3 linked regions of the Macaca fascicularis genome follow. The protein of the gene in region 1 binds, or shares a complex with, the protein of each later gene. Links are inferred from orthologs where the notes say so. Each region holds a gene or a part of one and is shown on either strand. Other genes may lie near its edges.

The links.
Region 2: EXOSC2 (region 1) and EXOSC5 share a complex: the UniProt entries of both Homo sapiens proteins name them as parts of the RNA exosome core complex. The link is inferred for Macaca fascicularis from reciprocal best matches to the Homo sapiens genes EXOSC2 and EXOSC5.
Region 3: EXOSC2 (region 1) and EXOSC6 share a complex: the UniProt entries of both Homo sapiens proteins name them as parts of the RNA exosome core complex. The link is inferred for Macaca fascicularis from reciprocal best matches to the Homo sapiens genes EXOSC2 and EXOSC6.

What each region holds. Positions count from the first base shown.
Region 1 is NC_088389.1:13,185,541-13,189,628, reverse strand, and holds the start of EXOSC2 (exosome complex component RRP4), read left to right. Parts: upstream 1-1,254; 5' UTR 1,255-1,275; coding exon 1,276-1,397; intron 1,398-3,562; coding exon 3,563-3,664; exon of another isoform or gene 3,665-3,677; intron 3,678-4,088. UniProt on the Homo sapiens protein: Non-catalytic component of the RNA exosome complex which has 3'->5' exoribonuclease activity and participates in a multitude of cellular RNA processing and degradation events.
Region 2 is NC_088393.1:48,537,960-48,542,245, forward strand, and holds the start of EXOSC5 (exosome complex component RRP46), read right to left. Parts: upstream 2,825-4,286; 5' UTR 2,760-2,824; coding exon 2,612-2,759; intron 1-2,611. Other genes in the region: BCKDHA (2-oxoisovalerate dehydrogenase subunit alpha, mitochondrial), read left to right, coding at 3,257-3,364. UniProt on the Homo sapiens protein: Non-catalytic component of the RNA exosome complex which has 3'->5' exoribonuclease activity and participates in a multitude of cellular RNA processing and degradation events.
Region 3 is NC_088394.1:70,113,728-70,117,969, reverse strand, and holds EXOSC6 (exosome complex component MTR3), read right to left. Parts: upstream 2,825-4,242; 5' UTR 2,785-2,824; coding exon 1,966-2,784; 3' UTR 515-1,965; downstream 1-514. Other genes in the region: AARS1 (alanine--tRNA ligase, cytoplasmic), read right to left, coding at 3,616-3,801, 4,144-4,242. UniProt on the Homo sapiens protein: Non-catalytic component of the RNA exosome complex which has 3'->5' exoribonuclease activity and participates in a multitude of cellular RNA processing and degradation events.

The DNA.
Region 1 (4,088 bases):
CTACGCGGGCTCAAAGGACACCATCGCCCTCTTATGGCCCCGGCAGTACTGGACCAAGGGGCTGGGCTCTAGCGCCTTCCTCCAAGCACGGCGGAGGGCGAGGGTCTGGCCGCCCACTTACCTAGGGCCTTGGGGCACTAGCATTCACGTCACGGACTGCCTGGCAGGGCTGACTTTCTTAAGTGTGGTCGTGCGCCTTGCTTAAGTGGAAGAAATGCTGTCGCTTTGGAGATTTATAAAACAATTGGTTCGATGGATCTTTCTTCAGGAGGCAGACTTGGTTTACCTGCTTTTCTGACCACAGTTGATGTAAATGATTTCATTTAATCCTCTTTAGAGTCCCTGTGCATGGGGAATTACCATTCCCAATTAGTTTGTTGTGAATGTAGGGCAAGGAGAGGGAGACGGTAGTGGGGAACGGGAGAAGGGGCGAGGGGTACGCTCCTATTAAAACGGAGCCGCAGCAAAACCCACAGAGACATGTCTGTTCCCTGCTGAATCCTTAGAACAGCGCCTGGCACACACAGAGCACTCAACTCGCTGTGTAACTAAATGCAAGCCATCTTCGTATTATGTGTGCACTTCCCTTCCCTACCAAATATACCTGGCTTGCAAGGTTTGACCTATACTGTTAGACGATTTTTAACTTGTTTCCAAAAGAAATATTGGAGTAAATTAGCTTGCTTAAAGAAGTCTTTATGAAAGAACAGAACCAAGTGAGAAGTATCTGGAGCCCGGTTTGGAGGTATAGATGATGATGCTGAGCCAGCACCCACGGGGCGGCAGCAATGTAGAATACTGGGGCTACTAGGAACCGTGTGGACGGGGGCTCTTCTCTCTGTTCAAATAGTGTTTTCTGTAGATCCCATCTCTCCATCCTCCTGAGCTCTCTCTTAGAAAATACCGGATTTCAGCAGCTTAGAATCGGACAGAAACTCAGAGGTCCGTTTCTCAATTATCGCTAACTCTTGTAAACAATAAATGGGATGGTGAGTACAAGACAGTTTTGGTAAAAAGTCACACCCCACACAACGTGAGATTGTATTATTCCACGGGTGCTCCCTTGCCAATAGTAAACATGGCAGCTCGGCTCCCTTCCCTTCGGGTTCGCCTTAGTGTTGCCAATTGTAAACATGGCCTCCAGACCGTGAGTTCTCATTGGCAGCTGCTCTGAGTCCCCGCCCTTCCCCGCCCCTCCGAACGCGGCCAGGAGTTGCGGAGTCGGATATCGCGGCTCCCGGCTGAGCTGCGCCTGCGCAACTCATTGGCGCCAAGATGGCGATGGAGATGAGGCTTCCAGCGGCTCGCAAGCCTCTTAGCGAGAGACTGGGTCGCGACACTAAGAAACATCTAGTGGTGCCGGGGGACACAATCACTACGGACACGGGATTCATGCGGTACGTGGGGACTTGGGGGAGTCGAGGCTTCATAGAGCGGCTTCAGGGCTCTCTGCACGTGGTCCAGGCCTCGTATCCCGGTGTGTCTAACTCCCCGCGGGACCCCAGGCACTTGGTCTGAGCATCCTACTCGCCTCGCTTCCGAGCCTCGCGCTTCTTGCCCCCTGCGTCTTGTGTGTCCCCTTCTGCGTTTGTCTCAGCTCCCTGAAACCCTCCACTCCTGACCTCTGGTGGCTGTGACTTTTGGGTCTTCTGCCTGAAGTCCAAATCTTGGAGCCTTCCTTGTAGGAGACCTGGAAAACCGGGGAGGTTTAGGCGCAGGCTCTCTTTCCAGTTTTCAGCTCTCTGAGGGGACGGTGGGTGTTCTTGGCCGCCTCCTCTTCAGTTTAGAATCCGTAATTGTTCGAGCTTAGGGCAAACAGTTACATTGTGCTGCCTGCACCCATTTATACACATTTTGAATCCAAGGGGTGCAGTACAGTGTGTTGTAGTTAAGAGGGCAGGCTCTTTTTTTTTTTTTTTTTTTTTGAGACAGAGTTTCACTCTTTTTGCCCAGGCTGGAGTGCAATGGCGCGATCTCAGCTCACTGCAACCTCCGCCTCCCAGGTTCAAGCGATTCTCCTGCCTCAGCCTCTCGAGTAGCTGGGATTACAGGCATGTGCCACCATGCCTGGCTAATTTTTGTATTTTTAGTAGAGACGGGGTTTCTCCATGTTGGTCAGGCTGGTCTTGAACTCCCGACCTCAGGTGATCCACCCTCCTCAGCCTCCCAAAGTGCTGGGATTACAGGCGTGAGCCACCGCGCCCGGCCGAGGGCAGGCTCTTGAGTCAGACAGTTGGGGTTCCAGTCCAGCTACCATCACATCTTATTAGCGGCATTGCCTCTCCACGGTCAGTTTCCTCATCTGTAAGATAGTGATAATAACAGTATGATACGGTAATGAGGATTAAATGAGATAATTATGTAAGAAAAGAAGTAAAACCAGCCATTATATCATCATCATAGATAACACTAGCGTTTCAACCTTTTTTTTCTGTACATGTATCTATACAAGGGGCACAGCATTCATAGCATTGCCCTTTAACCTGTTAGTTTAAGGCTAGTGGATCCTAGGAAATATTTTTTTTTCATTTTTGAGACGGAGTCTCTCTGTCGCCTAGGCTGGAGAGCAGTGGTGGGATCTCGGCTCACTGCAACCTCTGCCTCCTGGGTTCAAGCAATTCTCCTGTCTCAGCCTCCTGAGTAGCTGGGATTACAGGCACCTGCCACCATGCCCAGCCAATTTTTGTATTTTTAGTAGAGATGAGGTTTCACGATGTTGGCCAGGCTGATCTCGAACCCTTGACCTCAAGTGTGATCTGCCCACCTTGGCCTCCCAAAGTGCTGGGAGTACAGGCATGCCCAGCCCCTAGGAAATTTTTTTTTTTTTTTTTTTTAATGAGACAGAGTCTCACTCTGTCGCCCAGGCTGGAGTGCCGTGGCACAGTCTCAGCTCACTGCAACCTCCGCCTCTGGGATTCAAGCAATTCTCCTGCCTCACCCTCCTAAGTAGCTGGGATTCCAAGCGCACGCCACTATGCCCGGCTAATTTTTGTATTTTTAGTAGAGACGGGGTTTCACCATGTTGGTCAGGCTGGTCTCAAACACTTGACCTCGTGATCCACCCACCTCGGCCTCCCAGAGTGCTGGGATTATAGGCGTGAACCACCGCACCTGGCCAGGAAATCTTAAGATTCATTCTTTCGTTAATGCTTTCAACATATATTTATATTTTGTGCAGTTGGGATATAACGGCAGAGTGAAAAATCTCTGTCCTGGTGGAGTTATAACGGAGAATGTTAGGCAATAATGCAATGGGGAAAAACGTGGAGCAGGGTCAATGGAATGTGGGGGAGTGGTGGCAACGGGGTGGGCTGTGTTTTCAATGGCACAGTCAAGGTAGGCCTGCTGGAGAAAGTGACACCTGAGCAGACCTGAGTGAGAGGGGTGATTTCCAAGTAGCCAGTCTGGAGAAGGAGCACTGAAGGCAGAGGAAGCAGCCAGCACAGAAGCCAGGCTTTGCAGGGGGAGCTTGTTAGCTTTGAGGAACACATTGTTCTTGAAAGGAGAGAGGTCACCTCGAGTTACCCTGGTATCCTTTCTTTGTACCTTTGCCTTGCATCAGGGGCCACGGAACGTATATGGGAGAAGAGAAGCTCATTGCATCTGTTGCTGGCTCTGTGGAGAGAGTAAACAAGTTGATCTGTGTGAAAGCTTTGAAAACCAGGTGAGAACAAAAGGTGTGTATTCCCTTTCTTGCGGCATCCAGGTTGTACAACCAGGCTTTTTCTGCCCCCTCCATATCCCCTACCCCACCCCTGCCTGCCCTGTCATGCTGTAAGTCTGAGGTTTTGACCATGACTGTAGGTGGGGTGGTGCAGATCAGTGTAGGCTTCAGAGGTTTTCCCATGTTATGTCACCACTCCAAGCCTTGGTTACCTCCTCTGCAAAGTGAGTATAATAGCATGGCCTACTTCACAGGATTTTCTTTTTTTTTTTTGAGACGGAGTCTCGCTCTGTTGCCCAGGCTGGAGTACAGTGGCACAGTCTGCACGCTGCAACCTCTGCCTCCCGGGTTCAAACGATTCTCCTGCCTCAGCCTCCCAAGTAGCTGGGATTACAGGCACTCGCCACCACGCCTGGCTAATTTT
Region 2 (4,286 bases), on another chromosome or scaffold:
TCCCTCTGTCACCCAGGAGGCTGGAGTGCAGTTGTGCAATCTCAGCTCACTGCAACCTCCGCCTCCCAGGCTCAAGTGATTCTCGTGCCTCAGCCTCCAGAGTAGCTGAGATTATAGGTGCGTGCCACCTCGTCCGACTAATTTTTGTATTTTTAGTAGAGACGGGTTTTCACCATGTTGGCTAGGCTGGTCTCAGAACTCCTGACCTCGACTGGGCGAGGTGGCTCACGCCTGTAATCCCAGCAATTTGGGAGGCCGAGGCGGGTGGATCACGAGGTCAGGAGTTCAAGATCAGTCTGGCCAACATGGTGAAACCCCGTCTCTACTAAAAACTACAAAAATTAGCTGGGCGTGGGAGCACACGCCTGTGGTCCTGGCTACTCGGGAGGCTGAGGCAGAAGAATCGCTGGAACCTGGGAGGTGGAGGTTGCAGTGAGCCACGATCGCTTCACTGCACTCTAGCCTGGGTGACAGGGCGAGACTCTGTGTCAAAAAAAAAAAAAGAATTACTGACCTCAGGTGATCTACCCTCATCGGCCTCCCAAGGTGCTTGGATTACCGGTGTGAGCAACCCATGTGAGCAACTGCGCCCGGCCCCTTCTTAATTCTTAGGTTCGAAGAAACTTGAGGTATCTCAATTCAGCATAAGTGCTAAGCCTGAGGGAGGGTCCGGGAAGGTCCCTGGTTAAGGCGGTATTTCCTGGGATGCCCAATTTGCCCTTACACGGAAGGTGTGCTTAGTTCCAGGAAAAACTGCCCTGAGGACTGGAGAAACCAAAATAGAACTCGCCTCTGGCTCCAGATGAACTGCCTGTGTTTCACCTGAGCACAAGAGTCCCTCCCCTCTCACCTTCTTCAAGACGTGGCTCCAGCAATTCTCTCCCCTGTTGACCCCACAACCATCTTCAATTCCTGCCCCACTTATCTGATCCTCTTACAGCAAAACTCCTGAACAGCTGTCTATTCTTCCTTTCCTGTGACCCCACCACTCCACTGCGGCAGCTCAACATCGTCACCACTGACCTCCAAATGATCAACCCTCCATTGACCCGGCTGTCAGTAAGGCCGAAACAGCTGTCAGCCCTCACATCTCAGACACGCTCTTCTCTTGGCCCCAGGTCACCACCCTCTCCCGGTTTCCCCCTAAGTCTCTGGGCGTTCCTTCTGAGTCTCCTTTAGCTTGCTTGTCACAAGTCCCTGACTGCTCAAGTTGGAAGGCCTAGGGCTTGGTCCTGGGACCTCTTTTCCATCTACACTGACTTCGTTCAGTCAATAGGCTGAAATACCATATATACAGCCAGAGAGTTCCAAATTGCCTATGTCCAGCTTGGGTCTCTCTCCTGATTTCCAGACTTGTACAGATCTGGGCAGAAACCTTAGTTATGCCTGACTCTTTTTCCTCGCACTCAAACCAAACTATAGGTAAGTTTTGTCCGTTTTACTTTCAAACTACATCCAGAATCTCATCACCTCCACTACTCCTGTTCTGGCTGGAGCCACCATCACCTCCCTGTTTTCCCCCATACTCCCCACAATCAACACAGCAGCCAGATTTTGTTAAAATGTATTGGGGCTGGGCGTGGTGGCTGGTACCTATATGAGCACTTTGGGAGGAGGACTGCTTGAGTCCAGGAGTTCAAGACCAACCTGGGCAACATCGTGAGACCCTGTCTCAAAATTTTTTTTTTTTTTTTTGAGACAGAATCTTGTTTTGTCGTGCACACTGGAGTACAATGGCACAATCTTGGCTCACTGCAACTTCTGCCTCCTGGGTTCAAGAGATTCTCCTGCCTCAGCCTCCCCAGTAGCTGGGATTACAGGCGCCCACCACCATGCCTGGCTAATTTTTGTACTTTTAGTAGAGTCGGGGTTTCGCCATGTTGGCCAGGCTGGTCTCGAACTCCTGACCTCAGGTGATCCACCCGCCTTGGCCTCCCAAAGTGTGGGGATTACAGGCGTGAGCCACTGTGCCCAGCCTCCTGTCTCAAACGTTAAAGAGAAATATTCTTGGAGTTAATCTGGTTCTGAGAGTTATTTAGCTAGGGGAAGGGGATATTTGCCCTATAGGTAAGACTTGCCCTAATCTTAGGGATATTTACTCCTGTGGAGAGATGCAGTGAGGTAGCGGTGGGGATGTATTTTTCAACCCAGGGCAGTGACATTATCTTCAATTTGAGGAGTATTTACGTGGGTGAAAGATCCGCCACAGTCCAGAGTATGCAAATTGACAGGTTTGCGTCAGTCCGGGATGCAAGGACCTAGCGGGCGTGTGTGTGGGGCGGGCGGGGGCGGGGGTGAGGAGGAGGAACCTAGTTAAGGGCGATATTTACCCTGGTGAGGTGATTTTCCCTATTCTGAAATATCAATTCTTGCGGGGACGGTCTGCCCCGCCTGTCATTCTCAGACATATTTACAAAGATGGAGCTATCTTCTCCTTTCTAGTCGTGAGGGAGAGATGTATGTATCCCTGCGTATGTAGTAGTATTCAATCGGACAAGAAATCATGTATCAACGCAGGAGTGACATTTACCAGCTGGTATCATGGGGAGATGGGCACTCCGTTGCACGGTACATGGTAGTCCCTCTCCAAAAGACCTGGGTAAGTTCTTACCTTGCAGGAAGGAAGCAGAGCCATCTGGCCGCGACAGCAGGTTCTGTTCGCAGGCAAAGTGCCGGAGGCTGCAGCCGGGACCCCGAGGGCTGCACCCTGTTCCAATTTCAGCGCGGATTTTGGCGTCAGTATGCATCTCCTCCTCCATCGCGCCGACCCCACGTGCGGCTGCGATTATCACTTCCGCCCGGCAGCGCGCGCTGCGAACACTCTGCGTAACCATTGCGCACGCGCTGGGCTCGGCCGTCAGTCCTGGCGTCCGCACGTGGCTTAGCGTTTACCAACAATCTGGCTCCGCCCAGTCCCACCTCCTAACTCTGGCAACGCCATTGGACAGTTGAGAACAGGAGGCAGGCCTTGGCAGTGACCTGTTTTACTCTGGGCCCCCGGGCCCTAAATCCCTGAGGCCGTGGTCAGGTTGCCCTCTTCTTTGCCTGTTACAGGAGTAACTACAATGAGGCGACTGGGGAAAATTTTGGGTAGATAGGTTTTCTTCTCCAAATCTCTGTGCATTCTATCTACAACAGAATGGGAAGAAGGTGATTTTCTTGTCAGATGGTGCTGGAGTTTGTGTCAGGCACATAAAGGGGCAGCCCCGAATCTAGCCTACGTGAGTGCCCTACCGCTGAGTGGTTGCTAGCCAAGATGGCGGTAGCGATCGCTGCAGCGAGGGTCTGGCGGCCAAACCGAGGCCTGAGCCAGGCTGCCCTCTTGCTGCTGTGGCGGCCTGGGGCTCGGGGATTGGCTAGATCTGTGAGTACCTGGGCCCCAGGGGGTTTTCCCAAAGGGGATTAGGGATGTAAAGGCTATCTTCAGAGTGTGGGGTCCCTGAAGGATATGAAGGAAGGGCTGTCACAGAAGGGAAAAAGTGGGAGACCCCTTGGAGAAGACACCGAAGGGAAGATCTGCCACTTCCTTAGAAGAAAAGAACTTCCACTTCTTCAGGAGAGGACAAAACCCGTTTGCAACTTCTTTGTGGGCCCTGAGGGAGGGAGACGACTTGAAGAGAGGGATGGGAGTTCCTTATTTATTTATTTAGTTAGTTTTTGAGGCGGAGTCTGGAGTGCAGTGGCCGGATCTCAGCTCACTGCAAGCTCTGCCTCCCGGATTCACGCCGTTCTCCTGCCTCAGCCTCCCGAGTAGCTGGGACTACAGGCGCCCGCCGCCACCCCCGGCTAATTTTTTTTTTTTTTTTTGCATTTTTAGTAGAGACGGGGTTTCACTGTGTTAGCCAGGATGGTCTCGATCTCCTGACCTCGTGATCCGCCCACCTCGGCCTCCCAAAGTGCTGGAATTACAGGCGTGAGCCAGCGCGCCCGGCCGGGGGTTCCTTATTAACTGCCACTCGTATTCAGGGGAGGTTCCTTGGAGGGACAGGGGAAGACCGCGAGACCTTTTCCCTCAGGCTTTGGAGAATGAAACTGACTTTATAAAGGAGAGACTTTCTTCTGGGCAAAGATCCCTCTTCAAGAAGAAGAAAGAAGAGAGCAAGTCCCCTTATCGCAGGCTGCATAGGGCCTTGTATTTCTTTGCTCCTTTGCCACAATTCTGATTTTAAAATGAATTGTGTAAAAATTTTGTTTGGTTCCTGTGTCTCCTGATCGAATATCAAGACAGGGAACTCGTGTGTTCTGGACACTGTACAGAGGAGATGATTAATATTTGTTGAGTTAAT
Region 3 (4,242 bases), on another chromosome or scaffold:
GGCTTGCCAGACAAGCAGAGGGCCAACCTGTAGTGGTGGGTTTAGCTTCTTTAGAGGTTGCATTTCGAGATGATGGTCCTGGGACTGACACGGTTAGGAGGTGGCCTGGGACTGCACCAGGTCGCCATCCTCATGAAGCTGAGGCTCTCTTGCAAGGGGCAGATGACAGCCCATCCCCACCCCACCCCCACCCCCACCCCCACCCCCCACCCCACCCCACCCCTCCCCTCCCCTCCCCTCCCCTCAGAGGGCACCCTCAGCCTTGTCTGAATGCAGACACAGCTGATCTTCACTCCCCTCCCGATACACCGCCAGTCAACAGATAGCCAGCAGATCTCCCTGAGTTTCCAATCTCCCTGAAACTGCTGGAATGTTCTCAGTGTGTACCCCACACAGCCCTCTTTGGGCTCCAGACTCCCCATCTACTCTAGGAAGTCACCCTTCAGAATTACATTATGTCCTCTCCCCACTGGTGTGATACTATTTCAGACCTGCTCTAGAAAGACACGTTATGTCAGAAGGGAAAAAATAAAATTTGTATTTTTCCTGGTCAGGGGTTCTGGGTGTGGCCCCAGAAACTCATTCTGGTCCTTGGGCTGACCCAGGTCGGCCCTTCCTAGAGAAGCTGAGTGCAGAGAGGGGACCAGGCCGCCTTCCAAATGGCAGTCACCTAGCTTCCTACCATGCAGTCTTGAGCCCAAACCAGCAGAGCTGGTAGCGACACAGGAAAGACCCCACCTCGTGGTGAGTCAGTCAGGTTGTACCTGGCCTTCCTAGCAGTGCACCTGCCCTCTGCGGTGCTGCTCAGGGTCTTCCTTGTAGGACCAGGGTGCCACTTCTCACCAGCAGTGGAGGCTCGGGTTGTGCCATTCTGCACATGGCCAAGGACAGATGGCTTCTACGCAGAGCAAAACCCTTTTCAGCTACCCAGCACCAAGCCAGGTTGGGGCACGAGGTGCACTCAGCGCACTTCTGGGGCCGTACTTTTTTTCCTCAGACGGAGTCTTGCTCTTGTTGCCCAGGCTGGAGTGCAATGGTGCGATCTCCACTCACCGCAACCTCCACCTCCCGGGTTCAAGCGATTCTCCTGCCTCAGCCTCCCGAGTAGCTAAGATTACAGGCATATGCCACCATTATTAGTGCTGGCTAATTTTGTATTTTTAGTAGAGACGGGGTTTCTCCATGTTGGTCAGGCTGATCTCGAACTTCCGACCTCAGGTGATCTCCCTGCCTTGGCCTCCCAAAGTGCTGGGATTACAGGTGTGAGCCGCCGGCCCGGCCAACTCTCCCTACTCTCGTCGTATCTCAGCAGTTCCCCTAACTCTGGTTCATGTGGGGGCAGCTGCTTCTCCAAATCACAGCGCTCCCCTCAGGCTCTGCAGCTCTTTTCAGCCCGTCTCCTGTTCACGTGGGCCTAAGGAACAGAACCCGTTTAAGGCAATGCCGCCGCGACCCTTGACACCTGGGATGCAAGAACAAAAGAGCCTTGCTCTCTTAAATCCCGGACCAAGAAGAACCACACCATAAGACGTTTTTCAAATATAAAAGGGTCTTTCTTTTGGCTCAGACACAGAAGGCACAGTCGTCTTGTCCATCCTCTGAAAAGTCGCCCAGTTATATCGGAGGGGGTCACTGGCTGGCCTGAATGACAGCAGCTCTAGGTACCAGCTTCCAGGTAAGTCCAGCTAAAGTTTCCAACTTGGGAGTCAGGATGCGCTCACAGGTTTCCTCAACTGGGTCGAAGCTAAGAGCCGGCTCAAGTAAAGTTCCTTTAACGAGGTTTGTAAAAACCCTTTCCAACACCACAGCTGTCCGGCGCCTTGGCTCTGCTAGAGCCTACCCAGGTGCTCTCCAGGGCTCCGGCTGCTTACCTCGACGCAGGCTGGAGGCCGACGGCGCGGGTCTTTTCAGGGACGGCGGCAGCACGGTCCTCGGCTTGCGTCCGTCGTTGCTCAGGCTTCTAGTTCAGGGCTGGGCGGCGGCGCCCCTGCGGCGCGCCGCCCGCACCAGGCTCTGCTGCAGCACGGGGTAGAGGCGCTGGCAGCCCTCGAGCCCCAGGCGTACGGCCTCCGCCCAGCTCTCGATCAGGCCGCCCTCGCCGCTGCCCAGCAGCCCGGCCACCTGATTCAGCACAGGCATGAGCGCCACGGTGAGGCCCGCGGCGGCGCGCTCTTCCTCTAGTCGCGTGGGGTCCAGCAGCCAAGTGGGCGCGGGCCCCGGCGCGAGGCTCAGGCCACAGCCCACCACCAGATCGTACATCTCAACGCCCGCGTCGGCCAGGGCGAGCGCGGCGGCGGTGAGCGCGGCGGCCAGGGCCGAGCCGCCGTCCTCCAGCAGCAACGCCGACACCTCGAGCTGCGCGCGCGGGTAGCGGCCCAGGCGCACGGCCGGCTCCAGTGCCTCCTGCAGCGCCAGCGCCAGCTCACGCTCCTCGCCGCCGCCCGGGGGAGCGCGGCGCCGGCGGCCCGCGAAGGGCGCGCGGCGGAAGTCGCACAGCAGGCGACCGCGCAGCGCGGCCGGGGCTTCGCCGCCAGATCCGGCCGGGCCGCCGCCGCGCTCGCCTCCCTCGGCCTGTCGCGGGCCCGACACTGCACACAGCACCTTTGTGCCTCCCGCCTCCAGGTAGGCCGAGCCTTTGGCCTGGCTCAGCAGCCCGGCGCGCGCGTACACGGGCCGCAGTCGCGTTGGGTCGCGGGCGGCGGGCGCCTCCTCCTCGTCGGCCGCGTACAGCTGCGGCGGCTGCGACTCTTCAGGGCCGCGGATGCGGCGGTGGTCCCCGGGCATGGCGGCTCCTGGCTTGAGAGCCGCTTCCGCCCAACGCACTGCCGCACCCACTGGTTCTTCCGTTGCTTAAAGACGCGCGCCTGCGTGAGGGCTGTCGGGAGAGTGACGGGCGACGCTACAGCGCCTGCTGGAGGCTCGGAGGGAGAACGGCCGGCGTCCCTGGCGCCCTGGTCCCACTTGTGCAGGGCTGCCTGATCCATCCCTCCTGCTGGAAGGCAGCGGGAGAGCAGCTCCAAGGCTTCTCTGCTTCCACTAACCCCATCTACTGAATTATGAACGCCTTGCTCCATGTCACCCTACCTATTTGGCCTCAACCTCCACAAACGTTTGAGGCAACCCCAGGGGCTTTTCCCAAAATTTAGGGTTCTGGGGCTGGACTAGGTGAACACTACAGCAGCCAGTAGAAGCCACAGCATTTATTCTACAGACAGCAGGGGCCAAGGGCTGTCAAAACAGCGAGCTCCACCTGGGAAGAGGGATAGAGATCATATAGCATTAAGTATTGCACGTGGTCCTTTTATTCTCTGCAGCAAAAAACGATTCGTCCTTGCTGACACGGAAAGCTCAGGCTGGAGAGCTGTTATCTACAGATGCGAGTGTGGTGATCAACAGCAATGCGGGGGTAGTGGTTCTCGACAGATGGCACTGATGTGGAGGGCTCAGGGCAGAAGTATAAGGGGCGCTGAGTCACAGGACTGCTCGTGAGGGTGTTCCAGGTACGGCCGGGGTAGGAGGGGCTCTCAAAAGGTCCCAGGATTCAAATGTTCTTGTAGCAGATGAAGAGCTCCCGGCTGGACAGATGGAGCCAGTAGAAGCCACCTCCTCCCCCGCTCAGTTCTTTACATCCCCGAGGCGCAGCTGGGCGAAGGAAGTGGCCAGCTGCAGCGCCTCCTGCAGGCAGCCAATGTTTTTGCCTGTGGCCTGTGCAGACACATCCTTGCCCCCACCTTTACCGTCCATCAGGCCTGACACCTGCTGTACCCACTCGCTGGCTTTTAAGCCCCGATTGGCTGCATTCTAGAAGAAAGAAAGGGAAGGGGGAAGTCAGGACAGAAAATGGGATTGAGGGAGGAGCCATCACCCACTCCTTTGCCCTGGGTGATACTGCTGGAGGCCGAGACAGACTTTACGGCTAGTGCAGGGGGCAGTCATGGCCCCTGCCAGGACAGGACAGAGTGGCAAAGCCAAGTATCAACCAGACAGATGCAACCAATGAGGAGGCCTAGGTAAGGGGTACTGGCAAAGGTGACCAACAGGCAGGCAGGAGACAGGCTCTTTTAAATGCAGGTTGTACACACACAGGCCTCAGCAAACAAGCTTAAGACCCAACACTTCCCACTGGTGCAAGGTGGTTCTGACCTGAGGGACTTGACACAGGCAAGTGATCTTGCCAGCCTCGTTGTCCACCGTGAAGAGCATGGCAGACGTCTGAGGGGAGTGTGTCTTGAAGAGCTTCAA